2 linked regions of the Drosophila melanogaster genome follow. The protein of the gene in region 1 interacts with the protein of each later gene in a pairwise test. Each region holds a gene or a part of one and is shown in the gene's direction. Other genes may lie near its edges.

Region 1 (3,570 bases):
GCTGAATGCTGCAACTGGAAACTAATGAACCTTTCAACTCACTGCAAACAGTGTTGCCAACCATGGATTAAGCCAAAAAAAAAAAAAAAAAAATGTTGATAGAAGCGAGGTCCTGCCTTTAAAATATCTGCAGTTGTTGGGGATTATTTTTATGTAGGCCACGAATTACAACAGCATTTTTGGCACTATTTTCGCAGGATTTGTGCAGCTGTTGAACTTCATATTCATATCGTCTTGTAAATATCAATCGATTAAGATTTTTAGTAATTTATATACAAGAAATTGTGTTAGTGAAAATGCATTAATAGTTTGCTTGTTATTAATTGAATTAAATTGAAATAGCGATAAAATAGGTATGAATTTTAAAATTGTGGGTAAATTTTATTTTTCGAGTATTCCGGACTCTAAAATTGAGTGGTATTCATATTTTTTATGTGAAGTATAGTATAGTATATTCATAAATATGAAATATTCATAAAATAGCCAAGTGGCATGTTCTGTTGCCCGAAAACATTTTGCATGTGGACAGTAGTGAATTGTGGCAGCATCGGATATTTCGCAGTTAACGAAGGACTGTGGGTGCCGTCCGCCAAATTTGCCCACGGCGCTGATTTTCCCGACTGTATGCACTATGTGTGTATTTCCATTCGGACATGACATTTTCACCCGGGGACCGCAGGGCGCCAGGATCCCAGGACTCTGGAACCCAGAAGTATGCGTATTTAACATTTTCGTTGAGGATCCTTTGGCCGGCGAAAAAAAAAAAACGGAGAGAGCGAAACTAATTTATTTCCATTAGTCGGCGACGTCGGCCGCGTGAAATATTTCCGCTAATTGGCATTTGGCAGGCCGCGCAGCAAGTAGATCCTGGCAGCCTGGGCGTCTGGGTTCCTGGGTTCCCGGGTTCCTGGACTTCGACCCACACAAAGCATTCCGTAATTAATCATTTTCTGATTTGGCATCGGTGCCTGCACGGCGGCTCTGGCATTTTTCCGGCCATTTGGCGACGCCGGCTTCGCATTTTACGCGCCGTTAAAGTTTAATCGAAAAAGTATTTTTGTGGCCAATGAAAATTCCAATAACGAAATGCCAGCCGCAACAAACTTCTTGACTTTTTTATGCCCAGCCGGCAGCCGGAGAAGTTTTTCCGACCCCCCGACCCCCCCCCCCCTCACTCCTCACTTGCACCTGTAGCCCAGGTGGACTTTGCTTTTGGCCCTTACTTTTGCCTTGGCTTGATTAGTCTGTGTTGTGGGGAGGGTGTCTTGGTAGAGTCCCGTATCCGGACATTGATGCACCCGGATGAGCCGGATTCGGAAGCGAAGCTTGAACCGGAGCCGGAGCCGGAGTACGGAGAATGCCTGCATTTGATGGACATCGTGGCCATGGCCCATCGTCAAATTGTCTGGCTGAACTTTCGAAATGTGTTGCGTTGTGGCCATTCGCAGGAAACAGGAAAACTTTTCCCTCTAATGCGCAATTAAGCTAAAATTCCGGTGGATTCGTGGCAATTCGGGCAGAGGTGGTACATTGTGGATCATCACCTAAACGACAAATCCTCCGGATGCCCCGGTCAAAATACTTAAAAATGGACAGCTGCATGAGATGGGATCAATGAAGCACTGGAATTTTAATTGAATGGCTAACAAGTAATAAAATATATTCATCCGTAGTCCGAATTCACAAAGAGTGTAATAAAATTGTACCATCATACTTGGGATGAAAATGTTCGTTCCTAAATGCACAATATGTAAACAAAGTTAAATTGGTATTCTAATCCTAAACTCTAGACTTGGATTTTCTACCATTTTAAAAAACTTAAGAAGGCACATATACAATTTCCAATTTATTTTTACCCAGGAGTGCTAAGTCACAAATTTCATCAGAACAAACAGAAAGCGATTTCACTTTCCCCCATCAGTTAGTTTAGCAACTCAAAATCTCTAGCTATGAAAATTGTATCTGTTTGACAAAAAACAAAGAACTAAAAACACCAACATAAGTACACCAGTTCACAGGTTTAACCCAGACCCAACCACAAAAGTACACACAGAGCGAATCTAGCTGGGATTATCCGAGCACACACTCCAAATGGGCGCCCAGTTGGCCGGCGAAACGCGTGCCGAGGGTGGCGGTGCAGGACCAGGAACAGGACCACACCCACCGCAAAAGCAGGATTCGACGACCAAGAGGTCGGAAAAATCGGACCAGACGGAGAAAGCGTTGCCGGGGCAGACGAAGCAGGAACCGGATGGACAACCGATTCCCAAACAGGAGTATCCACAGCCGATGCCCGTTTCCAGACGCCTCATAAGATCGCGCAGCTTCACCACCGATATCCAACGAATGTGAGTATCCTGCAGCAAGGTCATCAAAAATATTTGAAAATTTTTAAAAGAGCAGTGGTGAAAATTCGTGATTATCTCGATTTTCATTTCAGGCCAACGGAGGCCATTTACGCGGAATTCGATCGACTGATTCAGCAGGTGGAGGGCCATCTGGGGCCGGTGGCGGTGGAGTCACCGTGCTTGGATGTGGCCGCCCGGCTGCAGAGCTGCCTCCAGGCGCACCGCCAGCGGTCGTGCAACTGCTTTGCAGCTATGGAGGAGTACCGCAACTGCGTGGTGCGTGCCACACAGAATCGCGTGGACGACTTGGCGGACATGGAGCCGCCAATGATGCCGGTGGTGCCGCCCCAGGTGATGCCACCTCCCGCTGTGCCGCCGCCAAATGCGCGTGGCAACCGCAGGTGGTGGAAGTTTTGGACCTGGTTCCGCTAACCGGATGCAGTTGTCCGTTTATCCGCCCAAAAACACGATGCTAGAGAAACGGCTTTATTAATTTAAATCATAGGACTTGAATCCATTTTCGTAGTTTTCCCGGCTGCAGATGTGACCAAAAAGGATGTCTACTTCAAGTGAATTTAGTCACAGTGAATGCTCGGAAATTAAACGCGGCAGCGTTTAGTTCAAATTGATAAATTGAAGCCAAGTAGATAAATAATTTGTATGTTCTGTGTAAAATAAATATTTAAACTTCAATAAGCCCAGTTTTTTCTGGTATGTCTGTTGTTAATATTCGCACTTAATTATATTTATAACATGATCATGAAATGTAGATTTTAGAAAAAGTATCTCTTATCTGCAGTGACAGATTTTAGTTACTAATATTTGTCGTTAATTAATTGAAATTCCAAATGGGCCACACGATGACCAATAACTGTAAAATTCAATAGAAAATTGCATTGAAAATTGCGGTCGACAATAAATGACGTAATAAATGTTTCCCGAGCAGCCAGCCAGCTAGCCACCTACCTATGTTGCAACACAGACTTTGACTCAAATTGTAGAGCCAAGCGAAAGGCAATTGCAAAATGTAAGATTTACCACAAGCTGCACGCGTGTAATTCTATGCTTTCAATTTGTGCCGAGTCAGTGGATGCTTTATGTCCATCATAGAGGGCTGTCACTGTGGCCGACAGCAGAGGTGCTTCTGTGCTGCTGCGCTTATGAAATGCAGATGGAGATGCCGAGCTCCCGTTGCACATTAGCCTCCAGGGAGTAGAATTCC
Region 2 (5,186 bases), 7.0 Mb from region 1:
CTCACATTGAATGGCAATTGGAGAGAGTAAAAAAGAGAAGCAAAAATTACTCATTCAACTTTGTTATTGCTTCGACTGCTTGTTTTTGTTGCTCTACGCCAAGCGCGTTGCTGCATGTCGCGTGCGTGTGACGTCACGATCGCCAATTGGGGTGGCACGAGTTTAATTCAATGGTGAAATATTGAAAAAACAGAGTGGATCCTATTATAATATTACAAAATTATTTTTAAAATATTTAATTTGAAAGTGGACAGAAACTGTTGGCAACCAAAATTTAAACTATATATCATTTTTTAGAGTGGACCAAAATTATATTTTATTATTATATTTTGAATTTCATATTGTTCATTTTCAGCAAGAGGAGTATTCGGGAGCGCCTGTCCAGTGCCTGATTCCCGGAACGAATCAGTGGGCGCTCATTGGGGTCTCCTCCTGGCGGATCGCGTGCGGACCCACGGGCGTGGAGCGGCCCAGGATGTACGACAAGATCGCCTCGAATGCCGCCTGGATCCGCGAGACGATCAGCGCGATATAGTCGGGATAGTTCACCAGGGGGCGGCGGCACGCCCCTCAGCGCATTTGTGTAGAAAACGGAACCGAAACTCACTGGGTATTATGTGTGTGTGTAGCAAAGCAAGTAAGGCAATTAAGCATATGTACTATGTAACTAACCTGCTCTAATGTTACTCGAACCTATGTAACTCTATGCTAACTGTATTCTTTAAACGTCCTTTTTTTTGCTGTTTTGTGTAATATTTATTAACTATGTTGTAATTGTATGTTAAACATGTCGAAAAGGAAGCAAATTTAGTTGTTAGTCTGTACGTTTAGCTGTTTGTAGAAAGATATTGTTGAATAAAATGAAATCGTCCAAAATCAAGATAATGGCTTTACTGGGGGTATACCACAATTAGGTGGACACGTGCATGGATTTCCATTTCCCATCCTTCTGAAGGCGGTACTGCACCCGGTCTGCGATTTGGTCGAGACCCACCTTCAGGAAGTCCCAACGCTGCGGTTGGAATTTCCAAGCGGTACTAGAAGAAGTTGTAATTATGTATATGTTAATTTACTAAATATAGATATACATATAAACTTCGAAACTCACTAGCTTGCTGGTCTCTCGATGGATTTTCCTCTGTGATCCAGAAGGAACTGATCGTGCTTTGCCTTGAGATCATCGTAGTTAATCGGTTCTCCACAGGGACAGATGTGACCCCTGATTTGGGCAGCCAAATTCTCCTTCGCCCACAAAGCATCCATTTCGCTTTGGTCAAGTTCCACGGCGGTGGCTCCAATCAATCTCACCTGCCAGGCATTCTGATTTCCGGCCTTATCCTTAACATCTGGCATATAGAAGGTGATGCAGGCCTTGGGATTGGCCTGAAGGTTCTTGAAGTTGCGAACGTACCGATGGGTGATGTAGAACACACAGTTATCCTGGGTGAGTCCGCGGTACAGAACAGTGCGGTTGAGCACACCGAATTCCTCGTCCACGGTGGCCAGGTTCATTTCCTGTATGAATCCATCGGGATGTCCCTTGGCAGCTTCCTGAAGGATCTCCTTAAAAAATTCAACGGGATCGGAGGGAAAGTCCTCGATTTTGGCCAAAGAGGAGGTCATATTGGTGGGTCCTTGAAGCGAAAAATATTCTTATACATTTTGAAAATGTAATACACATTTAATGTTAATTGGTAAAGCCCCTTATAACTGAAGTAATGTACTGTCATTCAAATTTGGCGCACTTTGCGCGCTGTTAACGCTAACAGCACTGTAACAGAAGCGCAGTACTTTGCAGCGGTTCTATAATCGATAGCCGTTGATTTCACGTTATATTTGCGAAGCTATCGGTTACTATCGATACATAGAAACGAAACAAATTCTCCCAATTTTCGGCTGAAAACGAGGAACACCAACTCGCGATTCTGGGGCGGCAGAACGGGAAATCCCGCCGAGGAGCAGCATGACCTCCATTCTGGACATGAAGGCCGGTCCGCCCGACTACTGGGCGGAGATCAGCAACTTCTTTCTGCCGCTGAAATACCTGATCACCAACGACCGCTTCGATTCGATGGTGCGGGACATAGACCTCTATTACCTGATCAACGGGGTCTTTTGGATATTCGTGGCGTTGTCTTGCGGCTACTACGCCTTCCAGCGGCTCTTCCAGGTGGGTCCAGCACGTGGCAAATCCTTTCAATCGCAGCACCCTCGACGCGGCGCCTCCAATTGCACTTTTCTTTTGAGGGGTTGCTCGGCCAATTTGCCGTTTATAAATAAACAGAGCGGACACGGTGCCGGATTCGCGCATTCCGGGGGTGGACGGGGTGCCAACCGAGTGGGGCGCTAAAAATACTGTTACCAACCCTTTGAAAAGCTTCAAAACACAACGAAATGCGGCACTTTTTGTATTGTTTTGGCTTGCAACTAAGCTGTAAATGATTATTATTTAAATATGTTGTCTCTTGTAAAATCAATATAAGGCGAAGATAGTATTGATTTTACTCCCGACAGTCATTGTTTAAGGGATTCAGATGTACTTCCTTCCCCATTCGGTTGGCACTTCGCTCCTGGCTTTGGTGATAGCATAAGTCCGGTGACAGTCGACCCATCGGCGCTGACCATAAGCCATATAAACCATTATCTGTAGTGACCCAAGACCAATGCTCGACTAATTGCTCCTCTCCCTTTTCAGTTCTTTCTGAAGTCGTCGAGCATGAAGCACTTTCAGCGGAGGCTGTTCGCCCGCGTCATTTGGAACATCGCCTTCTATGCGGCCAGCTGCCTGTTCCTGCACTTCTACAACGAGTTCATGATCCTGCCGCAGCTGATGAAGAACCAAGGACGCTACTCGCTCTTCTACTCCTCGGAGAACCTGATCTTCTATCGATCTCATCAGGCGGAAAAGTTTCAGTTCTACTCGATCTTCATTATCACGTTCTACCTGCATGGGGCGTGGTTGGACTTCAAGGACGCTGACTTCCTGGAGGTGGGCTCCAAGGGACTCTACCTGCTGTCCCTCGTCGCCATCGATGTTTACAGGCAAGTCGAGACACGTTTGGTCCCTACCATTCTAGCCTGGAGCCATTTAAGCTCGAAAATATTAAATACTCTTTATTTTTAGGTACGAAAACTACTTTGTGGGCCTGAATCTAACGGTGGGTCTGTACAGCATACTCACCGAGGTGCTAGCCCTGTTGGTCCTGCCCAGCACCAATTCACACCGGATCATCTACCAGGTTTTCCTCGGTCTGCGCATCATGGTGTGGGCGTATGTGTTTGTCAACCTACTGCCCTTTAAGTACTTCATACCCACGCTGTTCGCCAAGAACTTTAAGCTTTCCCTGAATGTGCCCATTTGGTTGTGGTACGGCCTCTCCATTTGGAACTCGCCGGTGCTGCAATACTTCTACCATCAGATATATCACACAGCGCCGTCGGATTGTTCGGGCGAGGGATCGGCGGCTAAGTGCATCCTGGTCAAGGACACCAGTGAGTTCCGGCACTACAAGACACTGAAGAAGGCCTATTTGGAGGTAAAGCTGGCACACATTAGAACCACGTCCAATTCGCTGCCCTCCGAAACCAGTTCGGCCTCGGCCAAAACCTTTCAGGCCATAAAATGTAAGCTTCCTGCACTAACCGATGTTGAATATCTGATTAACAATCATTTTCCCTGGCAGGCGTCATGATGCTTAAGCGCAAATTGAAGCGAATTCGCGAGGGACGTGGCCATGAGCCGGAGGATGACAACGATGACCAGGCCATTGATACCTAATCGCGTCCTACCGCACGGACGCAGCACACTTTTACACAGTAGAAAACCACATTTCCTTAAACCAAACCAAAAAAGACACAAGTTCAGCTTAGGCTAATAACTCACAAAGTTGAAACTAGCGCTCTCTCTCTCTCTCTCACTCAGGCTGATTTCGGTTTATGCGTGTTAGCTAGAACGCGATCAGCGCGAACAGTGCGTTTTGGCCAACATTCAGATCGTAATCAAAAAATAGGAATATTTAACACTTGAAAATTTGTAAATTTGTCAACGTTTTTGTTGTAAAGACTTTAAAAATATCAGTTGGTAGCTTTTAATCAAAAATTATTTAAATATCTCAACGATTCAAATATACGCGTTAAGAACATAACAACTAAAGGTTGTCAAAATTAAAACATGAATATAAACGATAAATCAAACGTGCAGATAATCTCAAAGGCTATATACGCAAAAATCGAAAAGTGAGGCTTACAAAATTAATCTCCTAGAAGTATTTAAAATAATGTTATATATCTTTAAAACGTCGAATTCGACTGTTGCCAAACGCACTGTTCTAATAGTACTTATTCGATAATAAACCACAGTGCGTTTCGATGCGAGCAATACAACAATTGACGCACTGTTGTCACTAGTTAACAATTATTTATAAAAACTCTAGATCAATATTAAATGTAATATCTACCAATCACGATTTAGACAGCACGCATAAACCAAGCGGCTGAAAGACCTTAGCAAATTTAGTTAGTATCGCTCGATTTTTGGCGCCAACGGAGATCGTCGCTGATGATATATATACATATAGTTACTATATCTCTATACCAACTCTCTCTCTCTCTCTCTCCCTCGCACACACGATCGCAGTTTCTCTCTCGTTTAGATTTGTAAGTCGCCTTCAACTTATTGTTGTTGTTTATTCGCTGTGACTTAATGACATATTGAAATATTGTAATGTGTTGTTTTTTTTTTCGTTCTTTTAATTGAAATATACTATATATGGGCTAAACGAGCGCAATTGAAATGTGTGTGTGTGTTGTTGTTGTTGTTACTGGGTTGGTTGCATTCGTTTGTTTTATTCACTTCTTAGCTCTCCCATCGTGGCTGAAATATTATATTATATTATTAATGTTCTTGCTTTATTTGATATTTGAAAAGAATTCTCTAGTTAAATTTCGGTTTCTCATTTGGTTTTAGGTTTCGCGTTTCTTCCTTCGAAACTTTGTTTTTGATATCCTTGCAATCGTACGTTCTCAACATGAATTCTCATTTGCTCATTTCATAATCGGAATCGATTTTAGAACTGTTTAATTGTACAACATATTTACGTATTAGGTCTGTAAACTAAAAAATTTCTTCAATTTAAAAAAACTCAGTAAAAAGTATCTTAGTAATTAAAGTAACAGTAAAGAGGATA

The links. Proteins that work in one complex are often made in the same cells at the same time.
Region 2: the proteins of CG9101 (region 1) and CG1636 interact in a two-hybrid assay, tested with the Drosophila melanogaster proteins (one large-scale study listed by BioGRID).

The regions. Positions count from the first base shown.
Region 1 is NC_004354.4:15,228,213-15,231,782, reverse strand, and holds CG9101 (uncharacterized protein), read left to right. Parts: upstream 1-1,907; 5' UTR 1,908-2,091; coding exon 2,092-2,348; intron 2,349-2,440; coding exon 2,441-2,780; 3' UTR 2,781-3,039; downstream 3,040-3,570.
Region 2 is NC_004354.4:8,271,585-8,276,770, forward strand, and holds CG1636 (uncharacterized protein), read left to right. Parts: upstream 1-1,827; 5' UTR 1,828-1,963; coding exon 1,964-2,170; exon of another isoform or gene 2,171-2,222; intron 2,223-2,695; coding exon 2,696-3,042; intron 3,043-3,124; coding exon 3,125-3,624; intron 3,625-3,683; coding exon 3,684-3,778; 3' UTR 3,779-4,617; downstream 4,618-5,186. Other genes in the region: CG1632 (uncharacterized protein), read left to right, coding at 356-535; CG15343 (uncharacterized protein), read right to left, coding at 911-1,037, 1,109-1,623.